Daphnia pulex: one gene and its partners. The protein of the gene in region 5 purifies or fractionates together with the protein of the main gene of each other region. This does not show direct contact. Links are inferred from orthologs where the notes say so. Each region holds a gene or a part of one and is shown on either strand. Other genes may lie near its edges. The genes, in order: inhibitor of Bruton tyrosine kinase-like, ribonuclease P protein subunit p30-like, ribonucleases P/MRP protein subunit POP1-like, ribonuclease P protein subunit p40-like and ribonuclease P protein subunit p20-like.

The links.
Region 1: the proteins of ribonuclease P protein subunit p20-like (region 5) and inhibitor of Bruton tyrosine kinase-like purify together in Homo sapiens (affinity purification with mass spectrometry; 3 studies listed by BioGRID and IntAct, with this or other methods). This does not show direct contact. The link is inferred for Daphnia pulex from reciprocal best matches to the Homo sapiens genes POP7 and IBTK.
Region 2: the proteins of ribonuclease P protein subunit p20-like (region 5) and ribonuclease P protein subunit p30-like purify together in Homo sapiens (co-immunoprecipitation; 4 studies listed by BioGRID and IntAct, counting the BioPlex papers as one, with this or other methods). This does not show direct contact. The link is inferred for Daphnia pulex from reciprocal best matches to the Homo sapiens genes POP7 and RPP30.
Region 3: the proteins of ribonuclease P protein subunit p20-like (region 5) and ribonucleases P/MRP protein subunit POP1-like purify together in Homo sapiens (affinity purification with mass spectrometry; 3 studies listed by BioGRID and IntAct, with this or other methods). This does not show direct contact. The link is inferred for Daphnia pulex from reciprocal best matches to the Homo sapiens genes POP7 and POP1.
Region 4: the proteins of ribonuclease P protein subunit p20-like (region 5) and ribonuclease P protein subunit p40-like purify together in Homo sapiens (co-immunoprecipitation; 4 studies listed by BioGRID and IntAct, with this or other methods). This does not show direct contact. The link is inferred for Daphnia pulex from reciprocal best matches to the Homo sapiens genes POP7 and RPP40.

What each region holds. Positions count from the first base shown.
Region 1 is NC_060022.1:2,496,201-2,502,499, forward strand, and holds the start of inhibitor of Bruton tyrosine kinase-like, read right to left. Parts: upstream 4,080-6,299; 5' UTR 3,726-4,079; coding exon 3,266-3,725; intron 3,198-3,265; coding exon 2,887-3,197; intron 2,818-2,886; coding exon 2,785-2,817; intron 2,720-2,784; coding exon 2,510-2,719; intron 2,448-2,509; coding exon 2,317-2,447; intron 2,257-2,316; coding exon 2,166-2,256; intron 2,096-2,165; coding exon 2,031-2,095; intron 1,969-2,030; coding exon 1,680-1,968; intron 1,625-1,679; coding exon 1,091-1,624; intron 1,017-1,090; coding exon 819-1,016; intron 761-818; coding exon 444-760; intron 377-443; coding exon 34-376; intron 1-33. Other genes in the region: neuferricin-like, read left to right, coding at 4,256-4,634, 4,717-4,857, 4,919-5,105, 5,172-5,337; FYVE and coiled-coil domain-containing protein 1-like, read right to left, coding at 5,682-5,997, 6,064-6,272. UniProt on the Homo sapiens protein: Acts as an inhibitor of BTK tyrosine kinase activity, thereby playing a role in B-cell development. Down-regulates BTK kinase activity, leading to interference with BTK-mediated calcium mobilization and NF-kappa-B-driven transcription.
Region 2 is NC_060018.1:995,308-1,000,341, forward strand, and holds ribonuclease P protein subunit p30-like, read right to left. Parts: upstream 2,413-5,034; coding exon 2,380-2,412; intron 2,314-2,379; coding exon 2,245-2,313; intron 2,186-2,244; coding exon 1,976-2,185; intron 1,876-1,975; coding exon 1,808-1,875; intron 1,746-1,807; coding exon 1,666-1,745; intron 1,598-1,665; coding exon 1,446-1,597; downstream 1-1,445. Other genes in the region: uncharacterized protein LOC124188900, read left to right, coding at 6-208, 282-407, 495-569, 652-828; dynein regulatory complex subunit 4-like, read right to left, coding at 3,098-3,352, 3,421-3,532, 3,593-3,780, 3,845-4,012, 4,074-4,478, 4,540-4,657, 4,719-4,963. UniProt on the Homo sapiens protein: Component of ribonuclease P, a ribonucleoprotein complex that generates mature tRNA molecules by cleaving their 5'-ends. Also a component of the MRP ribonuclease complex, which cleaves pre-rRNA sequences.
Region 3 is NC_060026.1:2,973,309-2,979,712, forward strand, and holds ribonucleases P/MRP protein subunit POP1-like, read right to left. Parts: upstream 4,158-6,404; 5' UTR 4,116-4,157; intron 4,044-4,115; 5' UTR 4,019-4,043; coding exon 3,910-4,018; intron 3,841-3,909; coding exon 3,722-3,840; intron 3,660-3,721; coding exon 3,520-3,659; intron 3,464-3,519; coding exon 3,361-3,463; intron 3,302-3,360; coding exon 2,557-3,301; intron 2,497-2,556; coding exon 1,592-2,496; 3' UTR 1,569-1,591; downstream 1-1,568. Other genes in the region: dnaJ homolog subfamily C member 9-like, read left to right, coding at 269-362, 453-605, 663-829, 908-1,131, 1,216-1,441; histone H3, read right to left, coding at 5,325-5,735; histone H4, read left to right, coding at 6,035-6,346. UniProt on the Homo sapiens protein: Component of ribonuclease P, a ribonucleoprotein complex that generates mature tRNA molecules by cleaving their 5'-ends. Also a component of the MRP ribonuclease complex, which cleaves pre-rRNA sequences.
Region 4 is NC_060026.1:1,154,297-1,159,928, reverse strand, and holds ribonuclease P protein subunit p40-like, read right to left. Parts: upstream 3,276-5,632; 5' UTR 3,175-3,275; coding exon 3,052-3,174; intron 2,991-3,051; coding exon 2,684-2,990; intron 2,623-2,683; coding exon 2,497-2,622; intron 2,432-2,496; coding exon 2,248-2,431; intron 2,187-2,247; coding exon 1,972-2,186; exon of another isoform or gene 1,915-1,971; coding exon 1,829-1,914; 3' UTR 1,760-1,828; downstream 1-1,759. Other genes in the region: uncharacterized protein LOC124204677, read right to left, coding at 4,901-4,964, 5,022-5,193, 5,266-5,304, 5,375-5,516. UniProt on the Homo sapiens protein: Component of ribonuclease P, a ribonucleoprotein complex that generates mature tRNA molecules by cleaving their 5'-ends. Also a component of the MRP ribonuclease complex, which cleaves pre-rRNA sequences.
Region 5 is NC_060018.1:3,380,702-3,385,652, reverse strand, and holds ribonuclease P protein subunit p20-like, read right to left. Parts: upstream 3,771-4,951; 5' UTR 3,588-3,770; coding exon 3,254-3,587; intron 3,198-3,253; coding exon 3,085-3,197; 3' UTR 2,668-3,084; downstream 1-2,667. Other genes in the region: eukaryotic initiation factor 4A-III, read left to right, coding at 27-165, 229-344, 408-643, 710-726; ATP synthase mitochondrial F1 complex assembly factor 2-like, read left to right, coding at 1,231-1,402, 1,511-1,710, 1,777-1,887, 1,965-2,032, 2,096-2,324, 2,388-2,522; malonyl-CoA decarboxylase, mitochondrial-like, read left to right, coding at 4,218-4,296, 4,379-4,716, 4,814-4,951. UniProt on the Homo sapiens protein: Component of ribonuclease P, a ribonucleoprotein complex that generates mature tRNA molecules by cleaving their 5'-ends. Also a component of the MRP ribonuclease complex, which cleaves pre-rRNA sequences.

The DNA of each region.
Region 1 (6,299 bases), on a different chromosome or scaffold from region 5:
CCACGAAAATTCTTATATTACATATTTACTTACCTTTGACCAAACTTCCTTTTTCAAGCATACCGTATTTTCGATATTCGGGTTTACATCACTTGTTAACGGTGAACAAGGTTCACTTATTTGCAACTGATGAGGATGTTTGAATTCGCTCCCTTTTTTCCCCGATTTTCTCCGCGTTTTTTTTCTTTTGACATCTCGTTCTCGATTAACGGAAGCTAAATTGACGTCTTCGAGTGATTCAGTGATCGTGAAAATATCCAAATCGTCAGAAGTGAGGTGTTTGGATGGAGTTGGAAGTCGACTAATTCTAGGAATGAACTGTTGGTAGAAATGTGTTAGTTCCTTCATGACTTCTTCACTAAGGCAATTCCATACTCTATGGATCCAAATATAAAACACGCATAATTTAGTATATTGCATTTTAACATAAAACGTAAAGATACCTCAGTTCAATCACGGCTGGTAGATTGCAACATACAAAATGCATGCATGAAATTTTCAGCTGAGTAGCGTTATACTCTGCTGCAAAATCAAGAACTTTCCCAACGTTCTTTATTGAAAGTAATCCAACAAGTGCTGATTCGCATATTGAAACCAAACGAGGAATCAGAAGGAGATCGGCCGATACCAAGCAATTGCTTATCCATTCCACATCTTCTGATTTTTCCACCTTTGAAGCTTTATCTTCGTAAAAGTAGTCTAAAATAACTTCGAGAACCAATGAATGAATAGGAAGGGGGATCTTTTTCGAAACTACGCTCTACAAAGGAAGAAAATTTAAAAAAAAATTCGAATTACAACGTCGATAAGTTATTCACCTCAATCCAGGCGTAGCTGAACATACTTCGGAAATAATCCGACCGAGCAATCAAAACAGCGCGATGTGCATCAAACTCTTTACCGTCGTTACTAACAATCTTAGTATCATAGAAATCGTCTCCGGAAAACCGATTCCATTGTTTCGGTTGAAGGTATAAGCGATCATTGCGAATCAAACCAGTATTTGCAATGTGGGCCTAAATTTAAATGCAAGTATTTGAGATACGCAATAAAACTGAGACTGAAATGTTCAATGAGAAATAATTATTACCTTGTCCAATATTTCCGCCAGTTTTCGAAGTCCTACATTTTTCGCATGAAATTGTACCATTCGAAGGACACGTGACAATCCATCTCGTTCATTTGACTTCCATTCCTCGCCTTTTACTCTTTTCAGCTCTACGGCGCTAGGAAGATCTTCCGCATAGTTGTCCTTATCCAAAGGTTCCTCCAAAGGTAACTTTAGATTCCACTTGACGGCTTCAGTTTCGAAGATGGCACAAGTGCCAGTGTATATAAATTCCAATATTAATTCAAAAACTTCTGCTGGGACGTCGGTGATGTGGACAGTTTTGTTATCATTTTTAAAAGATAATGATGAAGCACAGACATTCTGGTAGAAAGCGTTGCAACTTGCAGACAAAACAAAACGATGCGCAGCAAACGTTTTTGATCCCACAAGAAAAACGATATCATGTGTTAGATCATAAGGATCAGCATCCTGAAGAAGTTGTTTCAAATCCGTTTGCAATTGGGAAGGAGGAATGCAAATCTGAGCATCTTTCATTTCAGCGCTAGGAAGAATCTAAGAAAAACACGGAAATTAAGTGCAAGAAAGATGAAAATTTGCAAGCACTTACCTGAATTACAGCAAAGTTTTTACCAGCTGGATCACACACAATACTTGTCGCACGATAAACTCCAGGTATTCTCTGAATTTGAATTCGAATCAAATGTTCCTGCTTATGAAGCTCTATTCGTGAGACATTTTCTTGAGTAGCACAATGAGCTTCTGTTTTGCGTTTGCTAACGAACCTTTTCCCAATCGTACCAACAAAAGCTCCACCTTCTATGTTGACAAGTACAATGGCATTTTTGCAAAGTGAAACATCCTTTATAATGCAAAACGGGCTACCGCGAAAAGCACATCTAAAAATTTTGCGACGAGCAAATTAATCAGCGAAATTATTACTTCAACATCTTTCACATACTTTGTAAGCACCGGATGTGTTTGTGACCAGATATATATTTTTCCACTCTTCGTTAAAAGAAGAACCTGAACGCGTTCAAAATGGAATCAGTTTAAAGTTGTATAAATATGCCGAAAACTAATATGGCAATTTTACCTGAAATGGAACGCTTGTATCAGCTGCCAAATCTTCTTGAGAAAAATCCAATTTACCTCCTTCCATGACTATTTTCAATAAATCATATTGCCTAAGGAGAAAAATCCTTGTTTGGATATATGAACGTCACCGAAATTAATTGTAAAAGTACTTTGAAGCGATTTTGCGACACTGAAACTCATGCAACACAAAGACGTTTCCACCTTCTGTGGCGATTGCAGTTGCACCATCAGATGCTGCTACGTGAGTGATTGTGTAATTTTCTTCAGATAAGAGTGGAACCTGAATTAAATGCAATTAATTCCATTTCACAACTCAAGCAGATATTTGAAATGAATGTATACTCGTTTAGGCGTAATGACGGTTTTATCCCCTTTGATATGCCCAAGCGCTCCAGCGTTAAGCCCACAAGTGTACACATTACGTTGACACCAAAACACCGAATGAAAGCGGCTTGCAGAAATACCCTTGATAATGACTCCTTTGCTTTTGTCTTCAAACCGGGTAATAACTTTAGGGGCGACTAGTTGATTCGGAGGAGGATTGTGGCCTAGCTGAAGGAGGCAAAATAAATGGATAAGTTAACGGATTATTATGTTTATAACTGCGTAAAACTTACTTGATGATACATATTGCTGCCAAAGGACAAAACCTTGTAGATTGAAAAATATTTGATAAATAAATGCCATTTTCGTAAATAATGTATAATCAACCAACTTACATTTCCACCTTCAGTTAAAAGGATTGTATGATATGTTCCCAAAACTGCCTCCAGGATAACTGCAGACTTTTTCACTTTGCTGTTTGAAGAGTTTTCAGCATCTATGCTGATTTTCTGTGGAATTATAACAGTGGCTTCTGAACCAAGTCCTAGTTTGCCTCCTTGGCCAATTCCACAGGAAAAAGCTTGGCCTGATAATGTCAGAAACACTGAGTGGAATTTGTTCATAACCACCTTCTTAATGCCACCACTTCCTTTAGGAAAAATATCCAATAATTCTGGTAATTCTGGACTTTGTTGCTTTCCAAGTCCTGTAGAAAAAGAATAGGAATGAATATTGATTTTTTTTAAATTTATTTAAAAAAAAATTGCATCTTACCAAAATTTGAGTTTGATCCCCACACATGTACTTGAGATGGGAGATTAGCATCAAGTTTATTCAAATCGGATCTGTCTTGAATTAAATGGTCAAATGGAGACATATAGTCATTATCTAATGGATGAAATAAGCTAGCATTATTGTGCAGCAAAGCTCTTGCAGCTTGTAATTGCCCATAATAAAAAGTTCTATGTAAGGCAGAGTACCCAGACTCTTCATCTTTAGCATTGACATAGACATCATGAGAAAATAGCCAATGCAGAATTTTCATTTTCCCGAGTGAAGCTGCAACTTGTAAAGCAGTTCTTCCTGATGAGTCTTTATTGCTGGCTATGTTACAGCAGGTTGGTAAAAGTTTCATAACCATATCCTCAAATTCATCACCAGCAGCGATGAAAACTGAAAATATGCTATCTGCATGTTTTCTTGAAGAACATTTTGTTGTGCATTCTTCCCACATGTTTAATGCTGTTGATGATCAAATATATGTTATATGTTCTATCTCAACAATAGAATTATGTTTAAATGAATAGCCTTTTAGTCAGACATGCAATTCAGTTTAGGAATTAACCTTTGGGAAATGGATAAGCTGTCACTTTTTGAAACGATTTTTTTTACTTAATATTCACAACTGGGTATGCCTCTATATAATGCTTGTTTTTAGAATCTTGATCAATCTTGTTGAGACTTACGACTGTTGACTATTCGTGTTCACTTGACGAAAATTCTCCCAAATATGATGACGGAACTCTTTGTTTACAAGGTTTCACTGCCATCTGTAGTCACTTGTGCGAGCTACTACAATTCGTAATTTTTGACACCAAGTCACAACAGCAGACAACAGAGACGTCAAAACATCTCAGTATTTTTTATTTTGTTATCAATTGCCTGCGGCCGGTAAGTGGATAGCGGAATTATCTAGCCTCGTGCTTGTATCAGGGTTTAAGTCAGATAAGTAACGAGACGCAGTCTGAATTGGAACTAACCACGATGAACAAGTTACTGAAGTTATCCTTAGCCGTACTTCTCCTTGCATCTGTGATCGCTTGGTTTCAACCAAATGTTTTGCATAATAATACCAAATATCTCCACGATGTTGCGGCAAAATTTCCTGCATTAGTATCTTTCTTCAAATGGTTCCATGGTTCTAAAGGGTCTACTACTTCAACTGATCATTCTGATCATGCTCAACTTAAAGAACCAACATCAGCACCTGTTGAGCCCACACGTGTCTTCACAAAAGAAGAGTTAGCGAACTACAAGGGAGAAAATGGGGGTGACATTTACCTTGCCATTATGGGTAGAGTATATGACGTCACCAGAGGAAGAGATTTTTACGGACCTGGAGGGGGTTATGCTTTTTTTAGTGGCAAGTATTATACAGTACATGAAATGTATTTAGTACTCTTGTATATTATGTCGCCAATAACTGTTGAATGTTGTATTTGTAGGAGTTGATGGTTCCCGAGCATTTGTGACTGGAGATTTTAAACCAGAAGGACTCATTGATGATATAACTGGATTAGGAAGCCAAGATTATATAGGACTTAGAGATTGGTTGGACTTCTACACAAAAGATTATGAATACATTGGTAAGTAATTAGTCCAAAAGTTTTGTTGTTATCATGTTTATGTAATATTTTCTATCTTCAGGTAAACTTCAGGGATTATTCTTTGATGCTGATGGGAAAACAACCGAATATTATCATGATGCTCAACAGTGGATAAAAGAGGCCTCTAGTCACAAAGAAGATGAAGACTTGTTCAAAGAGAAGTTTCCCATGTGCAATATTGAATACAAGCCAGAAGAAGGATCTCGCGTGTGGTGTTCGACAAAGAGGTAAAATTACTACATGTGTTATGAATGAACGTGTGTGATTAACTGATGCCATTTTGTCTTGGTTAGCGGTGGAATCAAAAGGGACTGGGTAGGATTTCCTCGCTCTCTCTACTCAGCCGATTCCAAAAATATTCGTTGTGCCTGTGCTCAAGAGGCTGATCTGAATGATTCGTTGCTTAAAGAATATCCCAACTGTCCAAAAGATGCAACTTCGTGCATGCTCCCAAAATGATCGTTCTTATATTGTTGAAATTTCCCTATATTTTGTTTTGTTCTTTTTACTAGTGTCGCCTTCAGTTGCTGTCCTTTTTCTGTATGTGCAACCGATTTATTGTTTTATGGGATGTCAGTGGGATTTATAGCGTATAGATTTGAAGAGAAAAAAAAAGGAATTGGACCAAAAATAACCACACACGTTCTATTTTTCAAGTCATCAAAATGTAAAACATAAAAAGATACGTCTTTTGTTGTTGAACCTTAACGGTCAGTTATTACTTGGCGAAAGGAAAATTTGAGAAAGAAATAATAAAAAAGAGCTTTTTTTTTCATAATACTTGGATGTTGATTAGGAAATGTTTAGCCGGAACCATTTGCGTTAGGATCGTGTTCGTCTACGTTGGAAACCAAATTCTGTAAAAGGTGCTGCAGAGCTGGGTGGGCGTGTAAAACATCGATTGGCAACGTTTCCAACACTTTCGAGACGGATTTTGACCAGCACACTTGAGCGTCCAACCGGGCAGAGAGATCATTCCAGCGGTAGGAACCTAAGTCAACGACTTTTTCCATAGTTAACGGCTCAGCTTCTTCTCCTGCCTTCCGTAGTTTGTTTAGTTCTTCCTTAGCTTCGAGCAAAGCTACAGTCTGAGCGTTAAGGCTTGCCAATAGTTGTTCTCTGTAGAGAAATGTTTTATGGTTCACAAATTTTTGATAACAGAAACAAATGAAGCAAGTTTGTTACCTTTCGTCATTTAGTTGATGCATGGTAGAATCTTTATCCAGAATCAAACGCCGCAGAACTCGCAACAGCTTCGACAGAACATGATCGGTTTCTTCGATTTGGTCGACCAGGGAAGCGGCTAAGCGCAACTCTTCATCTATTACTGGGTTGGGTTCTTCGCGGCCTTCAGGTGGACGACGACGAGTGAGATTGATGGCGTCACTCAGATCCTAATGCAATGTATAAAAATTAAATAC
Region 2 (5,034 bases), about 2.4 Mb from region 5:
TGTAGACACGTCCCGGCCGATGCGTGAATTGGAGGAGGATGGTATGGGCTACTGGTTCGTCTCGCGCGAAGAAATGGAACACGACGTCCGTGATCATCAGTTTCTCGAATTTGGAGAGCACAACAATCATATCTATGGCACAAAGTTAGATACCATCCGCGCCGTAATCCGCCAGGGCAAAATGTGCGTTCTTGACTGCAGCCCGAACGTAATATTTCTTTAATAACATATTGACTAATTAACACCATAGCAAAGCTCTATTATCTCTGCATTTCATGTAGGCATTAAAAACTCTACACAATTCACCAGAGTTCATGCCTTATGTCATCTTTTTAGCTGCACCTGGAATGGACCAGTTGAAAAGTCTTTACGAGAACTCCCGATATTCCAGCCGGAATTTGGGAACGGTTAGAATTCTATTTTTTTTTTTCTGTTTTCTAAATGTGTTTATGTTTGTGTAACTTACCCCATTTTCCCCCTTTTGGTTTAACTAGTTCGATCGTTCCAGTTCCATTCGTTTCAGTTCGAGAAGAGCACGTACTCTCGAATCCCTGACATCTTTATACGAGGTTTATTTTCGTACATGTTTTGCATGTCGTATAATCTAGTTTGTCCCCAATCAATTTAATTATTTCAAATTTTGCTCTACAGGAAGAGGATTTCAAAAACGCCTTGGAAGAGAGTGCTCGTATTCAGCGAATTTACGAGAAATATTTTGATCAGATTATTATTAATGAAGATCCCGATCAAACTTTTCGCAAAGTGGTTGAAGCATTGGAAATTCTTTCCAACCAGCATCAATGGGTCCCCGTCTCATGGGTCTACTAGACAAAAAACCAATAACAAAACGAATTCATTGCCAATTAAATTTCAAGCGATTTTTATGATTCATTGTATTCTTTCTTCCTCACTTATTTGACCGCATGCAGCCCACAGGTCCTGAACTTCTAGATCTTCCAAGAATCTGAAAACTTTTTACGTCCAACTGTTCACGTCTCCTCGTATGACAAAAGGGACAAAGTTGAGTTATTTTATACACACAAAATTTATTCATTCATTTGATTGAGTACTTTCTAAGCAGCACCGTTTTAGATTTTGTGACAGAGAACTTGACATATCCTTAATTTTGATTGTCATTCAATATAATACCTGAAGTGCTAATATGAAATTAAAGATCTTTCAAAAACGAGAAGATTATTAAGATTTAATGTTGTGTAGGTAGCTTTTAGGCTCTCTATACCTAGGGCAACATTTTGTTTGCATGAAAGTGTGAATGTCTATGACGTGCGATACATCGATCTATAATTGCAACATGTAAAGCCCTCCGCAAAAGCAGCTGTAACTTCAAATTTTCTGTTCTTATGTAGTTCAGCCATAATCTATTGATCAAAATGGAATACAAGTAAGTGCAAGATGTTGTCGAATTTCGTTTTTTGACTATTAAACTAAGCAGTTTCCATTTTCATCTTTTTGGGCTCTGGTTCTCCCGCAAGTCTTTCTTCCGCGTCAGTTATTTCCTTAGCTTTCCATTGTTCCTCTGGATCCAACTTGTCAGTTTCAGCAATAAAGCTGACACATTTTCCTGTTTTTCGAGTCACTGGAAATTCCCGAATGAAAAATGTAAAAGTGTAAAGTTAAATGCAGAAATTTATAGGGAATATATACCAGCATGAAGTGCAACGGATCGTCCACTCAAATTTAAAGCAGATCTAGCTTCTCCTTCACTTAATCCAAGAAGTAATCCTCTAAAATATGCAATGACTTATTTAGTCTCGTTAATAAGCAGTATCAACAATGTGTTCCTTACAAATTCGCTACGTCGTAAGGATTGCGAAGTTCTAATGGTGTAAGAGCTCCACTACTGATTATGACGTTCTACAGGAAGAGTTGAATATATATAGTAATAAACAACTAAGGCTCCAAAACACAAATAGTAAAATTTGGTCATTCTGAATTTGAAATAGATAAATCTCACCCGGGATTTGCCAACTGTATGGTACAAATGTGAAATCTGGATAATCTTTTTCCTATTTGACGAATCTCTAAGCATATGTGAATAGGGAATCTCAAAAAATATTCCTCTGTCAGTAGCTTGGCGATAATGTTTTCTGGTGAATCTCAGCAATTCTTTGGTTTCAGTCGGATGGTAGGTGATTATGTCTATATCCATGTTGGCTGCTGCATGCTATTAAAAAAAATAATTAAATAAAATTGATTTCAATCATAAAGATAAAAATAAAATACTAGAAAAGCAGCCGTAGTTGTTGGGCAGACAGCTATCAAATCAGATTTTTTGGTATTCCCCGATTGGATCTTTTGAGAAACACAAAATGCTTATCAGTAATTCCCAAATAAAGTGCATTTATATGGAGTACTCACAAGTTTCTGTGTATTCACAGGGTCACTGAGCATGACAGTCAACCGATGTAAGATTTTAACATTCTTCCCATGGACCTAAAGTAAGAGGTAAATTTGAATATAAAATCAAATCCATAGTTTCATTTTACAATACTTTAAATAAGTTCAACTCTTCTTCGGTGAATTTAAGTTTTAGAGGAGGTGGAACATCTTTTTTCTCTTCCTTTACTTCATTTTTCTTGTTCCCTTTTTTCTTGGTGTTGATTAAAACATCTTCTTCTATTGTTGTGTTAATAGCTATGGCACTATAACCAACTGAAAGAAAACAGAACAGGTGAAAACGACGAAATAGGGCAGGATTTTAACTAATTCATTTACGTTTGACAGCTCTCAACACGACTTCTTTAAGTGTTGTAGTAGGACTGCATGGACATGGGATATTGAAATCACAGAAACCTTGCACAGTGTTCATTGTTTTATATATTCGAAAATCTTTTGATAATTCAGTCACGTGCTTTGAAACAAAATCACAAATCACAAACGAAGCAAGCATGTGAATCAAGCAGACGAATTTCTGTCCCTCTAGCGACGCAAATTTATTTGTTTACCAACTTGACAGACACTTGTTAAAGGAAAATCACGCTTGATTTCGGTGTTTTTAAACAGTTAGAACACTAAGAAACAATATAACAATTAAAATGTGAAGTAATTAAATTGAAGTAGATTGTTCTGTTTTTGTTCAGTTGGCTGTTTTTAGTTTTCGTTGAGTGCTGGTTCCAACACCAGCACCATTGATGTCCAGAACTGCTGATGTAGACTTTGTTGAACCTACAACTGATTTGACAGAACCAGATTTGATGCTGATTCTTTCTTCAACAGCTGCTAAACTTTCATTGGAAGATTGAAATGATTTATCTGGAAGCTCCTCGTGGTGTGGTGCCTCAAAATTCATTTTAACCACTGTCTGTTTCCTCCCTTCTCTCAAAGACGATGACTGTACAGATAGAAAATGTGAATTAACAATTTGCTGATTAAAAGTGTGAGTGAAAGTGTGGAAATTACTACAGTCTCGCCAGACGCATTTGTACCCCCATCACCGTTTGAACCCGGACCGTGCGAGGTAAATTGCTTCAAAGCATTGTCCTTACACTTGAGAGTTTCTTGTAAAGATTCTCTGAAATCCAACAAATTAGAAGCTGTTATCTGTTTTCTCATATCTAATGAATTATTTTACAATTTTTTCTCTAGAACGAGTTGCTTCAAATTAGCTTTCTGTTGCACCTCCAGTATGGCAGCCATAAAGTTTTCTTCCAACTCATCTCGTTCAGTTTTAGTTCGCGCTAAACGCTGCTCAGCTACTTCACGTTGCCATACTGCTTCTTCAAGCTGCTTAGACATTGTTTTAGCGTGACCCTTTGCCGCCTAAAAGGTAAGACAATTTTACAATTTGTTTCCTTTGTAGAAAATGCTTGTAACGTTAGAATACTTGAAGAGAAGTTTTAGCGTGCAGCCAGTTTTCTGTGTCTTTCTGCAATTCTTTGTTACTTCTCTCCAATTGCTCGCATTTTTCACGAAGGTGCTTTATTTCTCTATCAGTCCTATGAAACTGCTTCTCCAATCTTTCTTCTTTAACACGAAATTCGGACAATTGTTCCTGGCCATTAGGATACTCAATTTTACGATTACGATTCTACAAAAACAACAGTATGTTTTACCTTCATAGAGGTGATAAGTGTCATGTTGTTGAGAATGATATCGTTGAAGTAGTTTTTCAGATTTATTATTGCCTGCTCGTGATTGATTTTCAGTACGGCCAAATGCTGTTGATCTTTTGTATCAACATCTTGCAAATCGCTCCTCCTTCGCTTTTCTAGTTCGTTCCTTTGCGCTTCCGTCTGATTTTGGAACTTGAGCTCAAGTTGTCTAGCTTCGTGCTCTAGACTTTTACGCATCTCGCTCATTTTTTTCGAGTGCTCCAATTTGATCTTATCGACCGTAAGTTGCTGTTGAAGACTAAGCTGACGTATTTCCTCTTTTAAACGCTGCTGTTCTAGACGCAGTATTTGCTCTTGCTCCTGATGTTCCAAATGAGCTTGCTCTAAAGCAGTTTGTTGCTCGTTCTATATAACAAAGAATTTAGTTATTGTTTTCATTCAACTTTATTTAAAAGTAAAACTAAACCCGCGATTCAGCCAAAGTTGTCTGGTGTTCATGAAGCAGGCATTTTATTTGCTGCTTGTACACTGCTATGTCCTTTTGTCGTATTTCTTCTGCGTCGTCTAACTCTTTTTCTTTATTCCTATTCATAAATGAGTCAAGTAAATCTTTCGTGGTTTTCTTAGAACACTGTAATTCAATACCTGAGACGGGCTCGTGTATCCTCAACTTCTTCTTTTGCGACTTTCCAGAAACCATAAATTTGATCACGTTCCAGTTGAAAGAAATTGCGCTCTTCACGTTCTTTTTCCAGTTGATCAAGAAGTCTAGTTAAGTGATTGAGAAGCTGATCTCTTGACATTTCCGATACTGGTAATCCATCCAGAAGTAAAGCACTACGATGGGACACATTCTTCTTCCCAGTCTTTTTACCTTTGCCTCCTTTCGCCTAGTCGTGTCATTTTATGTAGGTTATAAACTTATAAATGTCCCTTAAGAAAGAAATGGAATACCGTAACT
Region 3 (6,404 bases), on a different chromosome or scaffold from region 5:
GACGAAATACACTTTCTTTAAATAATTAATGGATTTTTTATTTTATTCCACATTTTAGCAATTTTTGGTTTTCAAAATTAGCGCCAAACTCTTTTTTGAATGATCCCGATCTGGCAACGCCTGTGTATTTGGCGGTGTTCAATTGTTTAACAGACGTCCCGTAAATGTGATGTGGAGAATATCTACTGCAGTCCTCGTGAAAACTTTTATTTAATAATTGTAAATCTGAATTACAGTATTTGGCAGTGATATTTATCTTGCATTTATCATGACAAGCTTAACTGAATTGTGTGATAAACATTTTAACTGCTCTTCTCTTTATGAAGTGTTGGGAGTAGAAAAAGATGTGGATGAAGCAGCAGGTAGGCATTGGCAAAGATAGAAATATACAACTTGAAATGGTATTGCTAATGTAAATACCTTTTCCACTTCTTATGATTAAAAAAATGTAGTGAAAAGGGCTTACTACAAGAAGTCCCTAAAGGTTCATCCTGACAGAGTCGGCGAAGAAGACAAAGAAAATGCAACAGAAAAGTTTCAAACTCTTGGTAAAGTCTACTCAATCTTGAGTGACAAAGAAAAAAGGAAGATATACGATGAAACAGGCAAGTAGAAATTATTACACTAATAGCTCTTGTAACTAATAAAAGTTTTATTTAAAGGCTGTGTTGATGACGATGATTTTTCAAAGGGTGACCAGAATTGGGAAGACTATTGGAGGTTTCTTTTCAAAAAAGTAACAGAGCAAGATATTACAGAATTTGAAAATAAATACAAAGGCTCAGAAGAAGAAACTACAGATGTTAAACAGCTTTATGAGCGTTACGAGGTAATTGCAGGCTTACATTTTGAATGACTAATGCTTTGACCATAACAATAACAAAATTAATCATAAACTAATTTGTAGGGAGATATGGACATGATCATGAGTTCAGTTATGTGTGCTACTGCCGATGATGAACCTAGAATACGAGAAATTATCCAGAAGATGGTTGACAACGATGAGGTTACTGGCTATAAAGCCTTTACTTCAGAATCCAAGAAAAAGCAAGTCGCCAGGAAGAAGAAGGCTGATCGCGAAGCTAAAATGGCAGAAAAAATGGCTGAAGAATTGGGACTGAAGAATGATGGGTAACAAATTTTTATTCTTTTTAAGTTTCTGTATAAGTTTCACTTTATTAACATATTTTATAATTGATAACTAAATCTTCTTAGAAGCGAAGACAGTCTTCGAGCTTTAATTCAGAAAAGGAACACGGACAGAGCCGCATCAGCTGACAATTTCTTCAGTGCTCTCGAGGCCAAGTACGGGGGTAAAGCGTCTAAAGAACGTACCACTAAAACGAGAAAGCAAAAGAAAGAAAGCAACGATGAAGACGATTCGGATAGTGAGGAAGTCATGCCTAAACGTGGGAAGAAAGGAATGGTTGGAAAGAAATAAAATAATTTGATGTTCTGCTTTCACTTTCATCCATTATACCATTACCAATACAATCTCGCTATGGGTAATGTACTATTGTAACCAAGAATTGATGTTCTACATTACACATAAAATAACTTGTGATAACTTCAATTAGTTTGTCAATGTATTTTACTCCATTGTAATTTCAGCCCACATGTACAAATTAGTTCCAGGATTTCGAACCAACACAAGAGACAAAGGTATTTGTGAAATGGCACGAATGACTATATATCCACGACCAATTCCTTTTCCTTCGCTAAGACCGAAATCTCCTTGAGTGACAAATCCAATGATCGGCCTGGCGAATGAAGTTTTTAAATTGCAGGAAGAAGGCAGCCATAACGAGCGAGTCTTTTCTTTGTGAACAGCAATTGCAGTGGCGCTGGAGAAGTCCCCAATGGTTCCATCTTTATCCCGGAATTCTTTCCTCTTTTTCGCAAGACTCTTCAGAAGGGAACTGTGCTGTTGGCGTAACATTTTCCGTTCTTTGGCGCAGGGATCTTGGTGAATAGGCTCGTTAATTACTGAATTAACTTTATCATCGGCTCCCGGTAAACAGATCATTGAAAATTCCTGAGGTGACCCGTGTTTAACTCGAACTGTCACGGGCACTAAATAAGGTTGAGATAATAAGATTTCGGGTAGCACAATCCTATTCTTTTGACACAATCCACTTAGGAGCTTCTTGTCACGTAATACAGTGAAACCTGACTCAGACTGACCGATCCAGTCGATTGTAAGGCGATCCCAATCGACGCAGAACGGAAAAGGTGTGGCTAATTTGATGAAGTTGGTTCTTGTTTTAGGTGGTCTACGAAAGTATTCTTCCATCAAATTCATTTTTCTGTCAACGGCAGTGGCTTTTCCTGCTTCACTGTCGATTTCTAAGCAGAGATCCCGACAAATTCCGTATTCAAAATTCATGCTTCCCGCATCTTTCAAACCTCCAGCGTGCCCTCCACTATAGATCAGTGCAAGCCAGAAAGCTGTAGCCCATCCAGCCGGCAAAATGACGTCACAGCCAGGAACAAAATCTTGAAAGGAAAAAAAAAGGTAAAAAAAAATTACATAATAAAAGAAATGTATTTACTTACCGCTGCTCTCGTGAGATGCATTCACAATGAGGATTGGAATGGGGATTTCTTCTGGCTGGACGGGTAACTCGGTGCCAGGAACAAGTAATTCACTACGACGGTTATTGATGACGTGATCGGGTAAACTTGTTCGCATATTGGTAATTTGATCTCGAACGCTGGCATCCCACAATTTACTTTGGCTCAATCCTACAAGTTCACAGTTACCTACCGTGGAACTGGACGCTTTGATTCGGGTTTGTGCGAGTATCATTCGAGGATCTCTGACTTCAACACTGGTGACAAACCCAGGTGATTGTGATAAACTTGACGCGCTCCTAGTTTCTTTGTCGAATAACGACGATACAACTGAATGTGCAAAGGGCCCTCTTAATCTGAACCGATTTAGCTTTCCTTTGTTTAAGGTAATCTTGACTCCAGGAGGCTTGCATAATAAGTCGGAATCGGATTCGAAAATAGAATTCAGCTCACACAGAAACTGTTGGTAGAAAGCTGGATGGCTCCATATCCACAAGGTTCGCATATCCGGATTCCCTGTATTGCACCACAAAAACGTAACCAAGCCGATGGGGCCGCTCGAAAACTGATTTCGCTTGAAAATGATCACTCTTCCTTCACGAGTGCCATTAAGGAAAGTAGACGCACCAAACGTTGGGCCAGTTTTAGGATCACAGAGAGAGATAAGGCCTCGAACGATCTCATCCTGTGGACCTTGAATTTCAACGCAACACAAGTACGATATGTCCTTTGAACAAAAAGAGGCAATTAATAATTACGTAAATCATTAATATTTTGAATTGATACCATTAGCAGGCAATGTTGAGCTACTGAACGGTAGCAGAATCTGTGACTGCGAGCGCAAGATCTTTCAGGAAGACGATGTCCCCACTTGATTACCATGTGAAACCTAAATGGTAAAAAGTAGTAACATGTCCTTAACATAACCTACAAATGGAAACAAACCTTTTGGCATGCCACAGGTGTGTTTCTAGCCAAGAGACTTTACTAGATCGCTTTTTATACTCTTCCAGCAATCTGCTTGGTCTGCGTCTATATTTCCTTCTAGGCCTCTTAGGCTGGGTTGCTGGACCACTCTTTGCCATCTAAATCCACATAAATATAGAGTTTATTCAGTGTGGAGCTATACTTTTATAAGCAGACTTACTTGGGCCTTGTGGGCTTCCCTTAAGGTTCTTGGCATTCTGTTTGGGTTATGGCTCATTGCTCTTCTTCGCATATGACATGGCAGTTTTTGAAAAAGTAATTTGGTGCATTGTGGATTTTCTTAAGGCAAACAACATGTTAGCAAATGTTGATAGGACAACTCTTTTTTTGGGGAGGGGGGAAACTCACCTATCATTTTTGTGAGAGCAACAATTTCCTGGGCTCTAACAGAAGAAAATCGAACGACTGATAAATCAGAAGGAACATTTTGCGTCATTTTGTTTCTTTCGTCAGTCATCTTACAAAAGGTGATTTTTACTTTTCTAGTAAGCAACGGTGATTAATTCAAATAAAGTTTGAAATTTTGAACATCAACATCACATGCTCTAACTCACGTGTCAACTAACTTGTTGTCGTTTTCGTCTGCTGTGGTAATCGGTCAATCTCGTAATCTCGTTGCCAAACTTTCCATTACAATTCTACGCAGATTCAATCTTCAATTTTTTTCTATTTTTCAAATGCTATTATTACCAATTTACCAGAACCACAGAACTACTGACTTACTCTGTTGTTTTATTTGAAGTGATCACGATATGGGTTAGAGCGGCGTTTTCATTTTCATATTCACTTTTTTAGTAGTTATCACATTCACATCACACATAACACAGTAAATCACCTTCCGGGGCTTCAATAAAGAGTAATGGAAATTTTTGAATCAATAAATGTGCCGTCCGAAGACGGGAGTTCGGAATCCATTGAGAAGTAGAGTCTTTTCAGACCGCTGACCTCAGAGAAATCAGAACTGAATCATTTACTCTCAGATCAAGTACTAAATGAAACAATTTGTTGTAAAGGTTAAATCTCTCTTACATAATTTGTTTTCCATTTGTGTTAAAGCGGGAAGAGAATTCCGTTCCGCTTCTACATATTAAGTTTTGGGAGGTCGCTGGTCGCACCGTCTAGAAAGAAGATTTTCCAACTGTTGGCCAACAGGTGGCTTGTTTTGTTTACTAGGTCGTCTGCATATATAGATTTTGATTGTTGTCTATGTTCTTGTTTCTCATTTTTTTTTTTGGGGGGGGGAGGATTATTGATTATTAAAACAAATAATTAGGGATTTGGAATGTGGTTGTGAATTTAAATGAAGTGTTAGGATTGAAAGATAAGTGCTGAGGACCGCAAGGATAAACCGACTGCCTGATTTTGTTTGCAAACCAGGTTGGTTCAAAGTTTTCAGTTTCCCATGATACTAATTTGTAGTCTAATCTGTTTACATGGTTTGGGCTTTACTTATTTGGGTGCAGTTCTAAAATAGGGCATGATTCAATATCTTTCCTTGTTTACCAAAATTTAGAAGTTTTCCATTGCACATTGAAACCATCGAAAAGGTTATGCTTGTGAAATTCTGGCATTTAGAAAGAAACCGTGGTTAGTGATGAGTAGAGTATTCTTTATTTTAGGCCATTCACATCAATGTGTGACGGTAAGAAAGATTTACAAGAATATAGTAATGAAAACAATGGTTGATTGGTAATCTTCTTCTTTAGTAAATGGTGGCCCTGAAAAGGGCCGATTGGTAAGTCAAAAGGGATTTTAAAAGTCGCTTAGGCACGTTCACCACGAATACGGCGAGCGAGCTGGATGTCTTTAGGCATGATGGTGACTCGCTTGGCGTGAATGGCGCACAAGTTGGTGTCTTCGAAAAGACCCACCAAGTAAGCCTCGCTGGCCTCCTGCAGAGCCATGACGGCCGAGCTCTGGAAACGCAAGTCGGTCTTGAAATCCTGGGCGATTTCTCTGACCAAGCGCTGGAATGGCAACTTGCGGATCAGAAGCTCGGTCGACTTTTGGTAGCGACGGATCTCACGAAGGGCGACGGTGCCGGGACGGTAACGATGGGGTTTCTTGACTCCTCCTGTGGCCGGGGCACTTTTGCGAGCGGCTTTGGTGGCCAACTGTTTGCGGGGCGCCTTGCCACCGGTGGATTTACGAGCGGTCTGCTTGGTACGGGCCATGTCGAACGACTGAAAGTTGAGATAAGGAAACAGTGGGGGGATGATGGGTTTATATAGGGGTCCAGGGAGACGTTGAGGAATGTATGGGATCTCTTTTTCAGCAATTGGTTGTTGGGTAAAATGGGAGGGAAGTTGAGGAATACAAAGCTTGGGCTTTGTTGACCTGAGTTGGGGTGGCTGTTAAGCTCAACCAATGCGGATGGATTTCCCACCGGATCGATTAGTATATAAAGGGGCCCTGGTGGAAGCATTCGACATTCAGTTTGTTCTTGTACTCTCTCTGAAACTCATTTAAAAAAATGACTGGTCGCGGCAAAGGAGGTAAAGGACTCGGCAAGGGAGGCGCCAAACGTCATCGCAAAGTTTTGCGTGACAACATCCAGGGAATCACCAAGCCGGCCATCCGTCGTCTTGCCCGTCGTGGTGGTGTCAAGCGAATCTCTGGTCTCATCTACGAGGAGACCCGTGGTGTGTTGAAGGTGTTCCTTGAGAACGTGATTCGTGACGCCGTCACCTACACTGAACACGCCAAGAGGAAGACGGTGACGGCCATGGACGTCGTCTACGCACTGAAACGCCAGGGCCGCACTCTGTACGGTTTCGGCGGTTAAATTTGATTCTGATTTATTATTTAAACTCCGACTCAATCCAATCGGCCCTTTTCAGGGC
Region 4 (5,632 bases), on a different chromosome or scaffold from region 5:
GTAACCCCTACCATTTAGATAGATACCGGTGGAGAGTTGATTAATTTCAAACCAAATTTGGTCGCCCTTTTTCAACCTCAGCGTTGATGGCAGAGAAAAGGTTCTCCATGTGCCTCTTAGGGCGAACGCATTAGCGTGACAATATGTGATGTCCTTGCCATTTAACTTCAGCGCAATGTAGAGGAGTAGTCTATAAGAAGATTCCGGAAACCACGCCAATCCGTTCAGGTTGAAAAAGTAAGTCCCTGTTGTCGTTGCCGTGAATTTCCCCGTTGATGTATTCATAGCTCCGCCCACATTTACTAGTTCTTCGTCGAATATAATTGTTGTATTTGCTTGACTGAAAACATCGTTCTTGTTTCTCCTGACAAAGAAGTAAGTCGGTGTAGATTTGATATCAGAAAATCCAATTCGCGTTTCAAAACCTATATTAATTAAATCATAAAAGTCATTCCAATGCTCCTTCTTTTGAGCAAATCAAAGTATTATATCAGAGGATGAACTTACTGGGATCGAAAGTTAATTTGGAAAAGTCGCAGTAGACTGTTTCGACATACTTAGCTCCCATTACCGAGTACACTCCATTGAATTGGTGTCCTAGACTTTTAAGATCCAAGCAGGAAGTGGGCATTTTTGTTGCTAGTCCTTGTCTCATAGTAGCGTTACTTGGGGTTAATTGACTGTTGATTGAAGGAGCATTCCCAATTCCTTGCTTTAGATTTACAATCTTTATAGTTCGTTAATATCCGGTTTAACAGTGAAAGCGATGACTTACATGTTTCTGGTCTTTTAGTCTCAAAAGTTCTTCTAACTGAGCATCTTTAGCTTCTAGTTGAACAATTTTGATATCCATAAGTTGCTTTAGGTGAACCTTGCAATTTAAATAGTTTTAACATTAAAGCTAACCTAAATGAAATTTAATTAAATAAAACATTTTTGATTTATTACATAGCTTTCCTTCAGTTGCTGTAATTCTTCTTCTAACGTGAGTTTAGCTGCGCAACTCGACCAGGTAAAAGACAAAATTAGTATATAGAATAACGCTGTCGATAGTGGAGCCATTTTGCGATGGCCCCAAGTCGGAAGGTTCCGTTTTCCCAACTGATTTAGCGACAAGGATTCGCTATGGGTTTAAAAGGCTCTTTGACTAAATCATTCAATTTTTCGTAAACATATTGACTTGGTTGCGTTTTACACAGTTGCAGCTGGTGTATCTCCTTGAAAGGAACAAACTCCATACGAGACTGGTGCGGTCTGAGAGGATTCGAAACTTCTGTTACGAATAATCATGTGGTAAATATTTTTCTTTTGTGGTTTTATTTCAAGGTATTTCGCAGCAGTGCACCGACAGCTGTTGATTGAATTTCCTACTGAGCTGTTGACTCATGGCCCTCTTTTTGTCAAAGGTATGTCATTATTAGTATACACAGTCGTCGTTCAGTGAAAACGTTCTTTGTAAAAATTTGCGGTAGAAATAACTAGTTTCCGCGTTTTTTGCAGCTGTGTAAAGCTTGATTTCTTTTAAAAACGTATTCAGTCCTTAAACATAAACAATACGCAATTTTAAGTTCTAATCATTAAGTAATGCTATGAAAAAATTGTTTTGCGACACAGAATTTTAGGCTGTTTGAGGACATGGCTATTACATTTCTTTCCCTCCTTTTTGTAATGGCAAAACTCGAGTGATACCGGAGTGCAGTTGCATGTGTAAGCAACTATGAGGTACAGATATAAAAGATTAATTTTTTGTTTTAATCGATCCAGTATCTGACTTAATTTATTCAGATGTGTTTTTACAGAAGATGAAATAACAAAAGTCGAATTGAATTCATTTGATTTTCCTTCTAGATGTCTGGTTTGTAAAGACTTGGCAGTTGTCCGATGCCGTTGTAAAAACCGAGCAAATACTTGATGCTGAAAATTAAAAATAAATTAATATGTGAAATTAACATGATTGCCAATAAAACACACCTATTTGGAATTCATCAAATCCAATGAGAGTGAGATTAAGCCATGATTGAACAGAGTTTTCTGTTGCTTCTGGTCGCAATTTCAAAATCACGCCGAGTAACTCTTTTGCCTGTCTTGCAGAAAAAAATCCTTTCCATTTCAAGATGTGAACCTTTTCAGATTTATAACTGGGCTCTGGGCATGTCATTGAAGAAGTGTAATCTTCTTGGTCAGGACTTAGATAAATAAAACAAAGAATGTAATATCTCAGTTTACTCTAAAAGCATATCTAGTTACCATGTGATATTCAATGCAGCAGCTCCAACCCATTCAACAACATCTGAAATGTCTGTTTCAGTGCATAGCAGTGGAACCTTTACTTGATTTAAAATTCTTTCTTCAAAGGATGGCAGACACTGAACTACCTGAAAGCCAAGCAAGTCGAGGTAAGCAGCAAGGGAAGATGGGCAGATGTCAGAATCTGTGGTAAAAACATTATTATTAGTCAACGCTTGATACAATTTCCACTATTAAGAAAAGCCTTACCGTGTGGATGCCAATTCATGATCCAATCAAATTGTAGACTTGTCTGATTTTGTAAACACCAACTAACTCTTTTGTAGTATTTAGAATCAGGGGAAAACTTATCATCAAGAAGATTAACAGAAATGTCTACGAAAACCAAATACAATGTTAACAAACTGAAAAAATTTACAGTGAATAATTAAGTTACCGTATTTAGCAGGACACTTTTTGGATGAAATTACCTCTGCTTGGCCACTTAACCCTAGCTCTTGATACACATCTTTGCAGACAGAAAGATGAAGTTTGCCTGATTCAACAACAATACTCTGATCAACTTCACCCCATGTTCCTAAAGTTCTGGCATCAAAATGTCCTTTTTTAACAAATGCAGAGAGAAAATCAGGGTCCAGCAACTTATGAACGGGGAATTTGTTAACTCTGTAAAATGTTGAGTCTAAAAAGAAGTCTTGAATTTCAGCTATTTCAGTAATTTCCCCAGACAAGATTGCAGTAATCTGTAACAAGAATACTCCTCTATTAGAATAATGTAAAAAGTTATTGAAGTTTCACTCTTACCCCATGAAAATGATTTCCTAGGTCTTGGGAAGGCACTTTATTAAGTATTTGGTCTTTCTTCCATGTGCATGTTTGTTTCAAGGATTTTGGTGGAGGAAAATTTATTACCTCTGGATTGTACATTTCAGGAAGTATTTGAAAGTTAATTCCAACGAAAAAAGAAGAAGTTTTCGATCCGGTGTGGTTTGTAATTGTTTTGTTTACTATTTTAGTCAGTTCCTACTCCATCTAGCGAAAACGTTTTTAGTTATCGATAGTTTATCTCAAAGCTTATAGATGGCGTCACTATCATTACGCGGTTTATTTAAACTATCTAAGTCGACTATATTATAATAATGATATAAAATACCTAGGCAATGAATAAAGAGGGCCAAAGAAGAAGTTACGTGGAAAATTCATAATTTTCTAATGATTTTCTAATGAAGTCTGGAACTCTGGAAGATTTTGTACGATACAATAGATTAACCGAATATTTGTAGCATAATGAATAACGACCACTATGTAAGCATTCAATTTAGTGATCAATTTGCTGCATTACGATAATTGCATTAATCAGAATCATCTGGAAAAGGTCTACAAAAAGAAAATACTGTACCCGCTAAGCTTGCTTTTCCTTTAAACACCCTCCGAGCTCCCACAAAAATCTCTTCCTTTTTATAAGTATTTAACCCATTAATCTTATTTTCCATAGAGATTACTCAATAATTACTTACCCAGACTTTTAATAATTCAGAAATCAGAATATTCAGAATTGATAGACCTCTTGCACCGTGCGGATAGCAGGATTCTTGTAGTCCGACAATGTTGCAATCCGCCATCTTAATAAAACCACACCCTTTTTTTACATGGGCTCTTATGGGAGTATTTTTTCAAAGTGCTTTTTCTCTTACCTGGATTACAACTTCGACCAAAGAAAAATATGGAAAAATACTACATCATTCAGGTAATCCGTAGAATGTAAGTTTTCCACTATTGAAGTAGTGGAAGTCATATTAATTAAATGTTTTGTACAGGGCATCCCCTAAAATTTCAAAGTTGGTTTTATCACAAGTGTGTTGTCAAAGGGTGTCCTTCTTCTTTTCTGCGCCCTGCGATCAATTTTAAGAGCTCATTAATGGGCTGATCTCCTGATTGAATAGCCAGTATCGTGTTGATATGTATTTTTAATGATTTCATATTCTCATTATTCTGAGGTCGACACTTTCAACTCAATTGCTGTTTCTGATCTAGGTCCTGGCTGTTGCACATGAATATAACAGTTATTAAACCCACAGCCAAATTGATACTTCTATTGAAATTCATTACTTTTTCTTTAATGCAATCCTAACATATTCAAATTTTTTTAGTTACAGGCTAGGGATAAACTCACAGCATTGGAGGTTTCACAGGAATTCCAAATATCGATTGTGTTGGCACAAGAACGTCTTTATTTCATGGAAAGAAATGGATTGATTTGTAGAGATGATACTGTTAGAGGCCTTGTCTTTTATCCTAATCTCTTCTCAAGTTCTGCTTAATAAACATTTAAAAATTGTATTAAACAAGTAGTGCACGTCTAATAATTCACACAGAAGGAACTCTATGGGTTAACTCTTGAATGTAATAGTTTTAACAACAATCCGATATGCTGTACATATTTGTTGTGGATTGAAATGCACATTCTATATCAAAATCTACAAAATGGAATGGAGAACCTGATAGATTAATGTAAAAGATGAGATGTTAGGCAATGAACAGCCAAATGGCAATTGTATTTTCAAGCACAGCATTGTCCCTCAAGAGAGATCAAACGAGAAGTTTTTCAATTTCTTGTTGTAAAGACTGAATCTGTGGTTTCGGTTATGATCCCTCATGTACAGTCACAGAACAAGCTGCAATAACAGAACGGGAGACTCCACAAGCACGTCCAAGTGCTAAATAAAGAATGAGTTTATTATAGCACATCTAAACTAATAATTTTATAAAATTACCTTGCTTTGAACGGACAAACACATATGACATATGGAACGTTTTTGTCTTCACAATCACACAGCAATGGCAGATGCAACAAAATCTCCAGTTCAAAATCTCCAATTCGCAACATTAACTTGTTTTCCGTATCGTGTTTCAGTGTAAAATTGACACACACACACACACGACAATCTAAATAATAAGGAAAAATCAATTACCAAGTGTTTCAGTGGGAAAATGTTAAAAATTGTAAGTATACTATACATGTTTTGGTCCTACATATGTAAACAATGCCCATATGCCCTATACAAAACATTTAATTAATATGACTTCCACTACTTCAATAGTGGAAAACTTACATTCTACGGATTACCTGAATGATGTAGTATTTTTCCATATTTTTCTTTGGTCGAAGTTGTAATCCAGGTAAGAGAAAAAGCACTTTGAAAAAATACTCCCATAAGAGCCCATGTAAAAAAAGGGTGTGGTTTTATTAAGATGGCGGATTGCAACATTGTCGGACTACAAGAATCCTGCTATCCGCACGGTGCAAGAGGTCTATTGACACCCTTGCGCGATTGCGCCATCTTTGTTGTTTATGCTCCTCCTCCCCCATCCTCCACTTGCCATA
Region 5 (4,951 bases):
ATTACTAATTATTTTATGTGGTTTAGTGATGAGTTGACACTCGAAGGAATCAAACAGTTCTTTGTCGCTGTCGAAAGAGAAGAATGGAAGTTTGACACGTTGTGCGATCTGTACGACACACTGACAATCACGCAGGCGGTTATTTTTTGTAATACTAAACGCAAGGTTAGTCACGATTAAATCTCTTCTATTGTTGATTTCGATGTAACACAGTTAGATTGATTTTAGGTTGACTGGTTGACGGAGAAAATGCGTGAAGCGAATTTTACCGTTTCTTCAATGCACGGAGACATGCCTCAAAAAGAGCGTGATACTATTATGAAAGAATTCCGTAATGGTCAGAGGTATTGAAATTTTCGTCTACCATATAACCATTCAGAGTAATAACAATTATTCGTTTATTCTAGCCGAGTTCTTATTACAACTGACGTTTGGGCTCGTGGTATTGATGTTCAACAAGTTTCGTTGGTCATTAACTACGATCTCCCTAACAACCGTGAGTTGTACATCCATCGTATCGGTCGTTCTGGCCGATTCGGACGTAAAGGTGTTGCAATTAACTTTGTCAAGAATGACGATATCCGTATTCTCCGCGATATCGAACAGTACTATGCTACACAGGTTGACGAAATGCCCATGAATGGTAAAATATTTTTAGCATGTTTTTTTTTAACTCTTTCTAAATGTGTTTGTTTTTAATCAATTTCAGTGGCTGACCTCATTTAATCTATAATCCATTTCGGAAAAAGGAAAACAAAGAAGTTGATGCGTCATGTTTTTATTTTGCTGGATTTTTTTTTTCTGTATCCCCGAAGATTTGGACTAAATATATGAAACTTGTGGCCGTTTAATTAATTGTCTTGTTCCATTGTTGGAGTCTAAAAATGACGTCTACTTTACTCGTAGATCTGAAGTAATATATGAACCTTTTGCTCATGAGTTATGACTTATTGACTTATGAGTTATGACACAGTATTTATAATAAGGCATGTTGATTTTTTTTACTCACTTTGAAAATACTTGCGACAATTCGAAACCAGTATTTGAAGGACGTTCCAAATTCCAATTACAAAGTTAGATTTGTTGTATCTCTAGTAGCTGAACAAAAGCTAGAAACTAGCTGAAAACTTGGTTGCTGAAACCCAGTACCCCACATTTCCTTTTTTCTGTTTGAAAACAGTTTTGGTCTGCTACAGTTCGAAGCACCCGGTTGTTGCTTGTTGGTGGGTGATGAAATCATTTGTCACCTCGTCAACAATGTCTTTTTCAACTAATAATTTAATACGTTTTGGCTCCGGCACTTCTAATTTATTGAGAATACTTGGTAATAATCAAATAGGAGCTGGAAACGGTGTTACTAGTCGATCCATTCAATTGTCGTCAGGAGATCAATCATCTTTGGGTATTTCATTTTACACCTCGTTAATCAAATTACGATGATTATTTATTTTTTTAGACACATTTGCTTCTTTTTCCAGCACATTACAATGTTCTATGTTTTTTATTCCAGGTTCTCAAACTCGCAAAAGATTTTACAAAAAAGTCAGCACTGTCCAATCAAATAAAGATTTTGAAATCATTCTTGACAATAGAAAACTTAAAACTCCTGCAGGTAGTGTATTTCGTGTTTCCAGTGAACCATTAGCTCTAGCTGTTGCTAATGAATGGGATGCCCAGGAAGAAAAAATTTTAGTATCGTCAATGCATCTTGTGAGTTATGGTAAAAGTTTTCTTATTGCTTACCAATCTTGCTTACAAGTTTTCTTTCAAATATAGACATCTCTTGTTAACACTATCCTGGATAATCCAAACAAATTACGAAAACAAGATATTGTCAGTCACATTCTTACCTACCTAGACAATGATACACTTTTGTGCAGGGAAGAGGTAATTACTTGATTTAGTACATATTATACAGGATAAACTGATAAGTTTTGTAAAACATATTTTAATGCAAACAATAGGGTAACTCTGAATGGTCATCTGAACAAACAAAAGAGTGGGATCCATTGGTTGACTGGTTTAATCAAAGGTCTGTAAAAAAAAATAAGTAATAAAACCGACAATGTAATATAAATAATTTCATCGTTTACAGATATGGTACGAATGTTGAGTCTTCAAGTGCCATCACCGGTCCGTGTTTACCCATAGAAGCAAGAGATGTTCTTCAAAAGCATTTGCACTCATATGATTTTTGGACTCTTAACGGGCTAATGTTTGCTGTAGAATCAGTGAAATCGCTGATTTTAGCTCTTGCTTGTGTCGATCGACATCTTACTGTGGAAGAAAGCGTTCGGTTGGCCACTCTCGAAACCAATTTTCAAGTATTAAGATTTTGTTTTTCTTACTTTCATAAATGCTATCAGTGTTAACTTTGAACTCTTTAGACTCGACAGTGGGGCCGTGTAGAGTGGGCTCATGATGTCGATAACTTCAATGTGCAATCTCGCTTTGCAGCTTCTATCCTATTTGTACATCTTACATCAAGTTCTTCATCAATTGAAAACAAATTCAAGAAATAAATACATGGAGTCTGGTAGTACTATAGGTATTAACTGGTAATGTTCTCCTTTGTTTTTTATCTGAATTGTATTTTTGGTGTAGTTTTGTTGCATACAATTTCTAAACAAGGCATACATTATTATTACATTTTAATGTCCTTTAGTATTATTTTCACATCAGTGTATTTGACAAGCCCTTATCATGAAGAGTTGGAGCATAATCATAACAGGGGCTAAAATCTCAGCATAATCCATTGACAACTGCCCATTCAGTTTTTTGCAAAGAAGAAATTTGAAAGCAAAATGTAAACCAAGAATGGTACAGCTCCACAAAGCTCTCAATGGAGCTGCCTTATACATCCCTGCAAGAAGCATCCTTAAAAGCACCACATAAACAAAATAGCAATGTACACCATCAGCAGCAAATAAAGGAGAAAACACTAACCACCAGTTAAAGGTCACAACAGATTCAGCCTTCAATACAAAAAAAATTGAGAATACAGTAAATCCAACAATATGGAGCCATATCTCTATAGGAGTAAGGCCCAGCAGGCGAGTTGTTTCTTTCAAGGAGAAAAACATTTTATTTTCCATTCATGTCCATGTTCAACAATTTGTAAACTTTAATGATGACTGCAGAATTCTGCCTTTCTTTAGAGTAGAAATCTCCAGAATCGTATTGAGGCTCAAAGTCATCTGAAAAATTCACAATTATTTTATAATAGTATTACAAAACACAACAAAGATATTACCAATCAAGTGAACTGTTGATGTATTTACTGAAAGTTCTAGAGGAGTGTTTGATTTCAGTTGGATTTGCAACGCTAGATTTATTGCTTTAGGAGCTGCTGCTCCCAGACCATGAATATGAACACTTGATTCAGTTTCTAAACATTTGAAACAGCGAGCGAGTTGAGCCTTGAAATCTGTTTTATTGTTGACATACACGTCGTTTGATCGTGACGGAAGCCGAGCTGGCAATCGTTTTCTCAGTTTGTATTCTTCTGGATCGTAGCGTATTTTTTTAGAGTTTGGTACCTGCTCTTGTCTGACACCTGTCGCGGAATCGTTCGTCCCCTCTGACATTGTCAAATTAGACAATATGGCATTGCTAACTGTACCCGTATTAATACTATCCACACGTGATTACAAAATCACATACACGCAGTTAAAGTCGAGCTTCAGAAAAATTAGAATACGAATACGTAGTGTACAATGAAAGGCCTATGCCTATGCGAGTATACGCCTTATTAATCTCCGCTAGGTTCGCTAGTAAAGATACTTTTTTCGATTTTTTTGCTTGGTAAAATTAATCCAGGTAAAACAAAAAAAATGTATATTTATTTATTTTTTTAATGATAACAGCTGGGAATTAACGTAAATTTGCAGTATCAATATTTGGCCTAAAGTTTGGAAAACCCAAACTCGTATCTTGGATTCTTGGTCAAAGGCCTGTCTGGCAGCCATCCAAACGCACTCTATGACCTGTGGCGCAGTGGCGGGCTCTAAGCAAGTGAGCATACATGAATCGACGAAAACACGTCTGGGCCCTGGGGGCGGGTGTATGACGTCTGTTTGGGTGCTAACTGCTGATCATACTGCATCCTGCTGCATCGTTCAAAGTTATCTCTTGCATTGGTTAACGGAAAATCCCAATATTTATCTCTTGTTTTTGATGAAACTTAAAAGGTAAAATTCATGGTTCAATGTACATGAATGGTTTTGAATATTGGGAAAATAGTTGCAGCCAAAACCTTACATCGTAATATATGGTTCCAAGGTCGGCCAAAAAAAGGTATACACCTCGTGAGACTACGTTTACAAAGTTCTCCCGCCTTATAAAGCCCACTAGCTCTATATGTTTCTCATTCGCGCAGCGTCTTTGAACCAGGAAGGAACAGTTATGAGTCGCATAGCTTTGATTTATCCCAAGCTAGCAATCTTTAGAAGCCGGACACAACTGACTTCAAGTGCATCAACTGCAAGAAACTGTGATCTGATGAAGAATCCATCATTCAATACCCAACTCAATGTTGTGTTGATGAGTCTCAACAACATTCAACTAACACAAGTAAACACCTTTTCAAGCAACTCGGTATCAAACCCAGGCTTCCAAACAGCAAGTACTCTCATTCAAAAAGATCTTTTTGAGCTTGCTTCAAAAGCTTTATTGGAATTGCAAGAATCGAAAAACAGCAGTAGTCTTGTTGTGGAGGTAAACTTTCAATTTTTCATGTTTTATTGTTTTTCTTGTTTTTTAGTTTAGTTTTTATTATCTTATAAAACTAATGTTCTCTTATTTTTTTTTTTAGAAAAAAGCGCATGTTTTCTGTGATTTATATCGAACATTGCAGCATTCCGAAAAAAGTCTAATTCTTGATCAGTTTGCCTTAATATGGAGTGGCAAACAAAACACTACTCTCAATTCAGTGAAAAAATATCTTACTGCA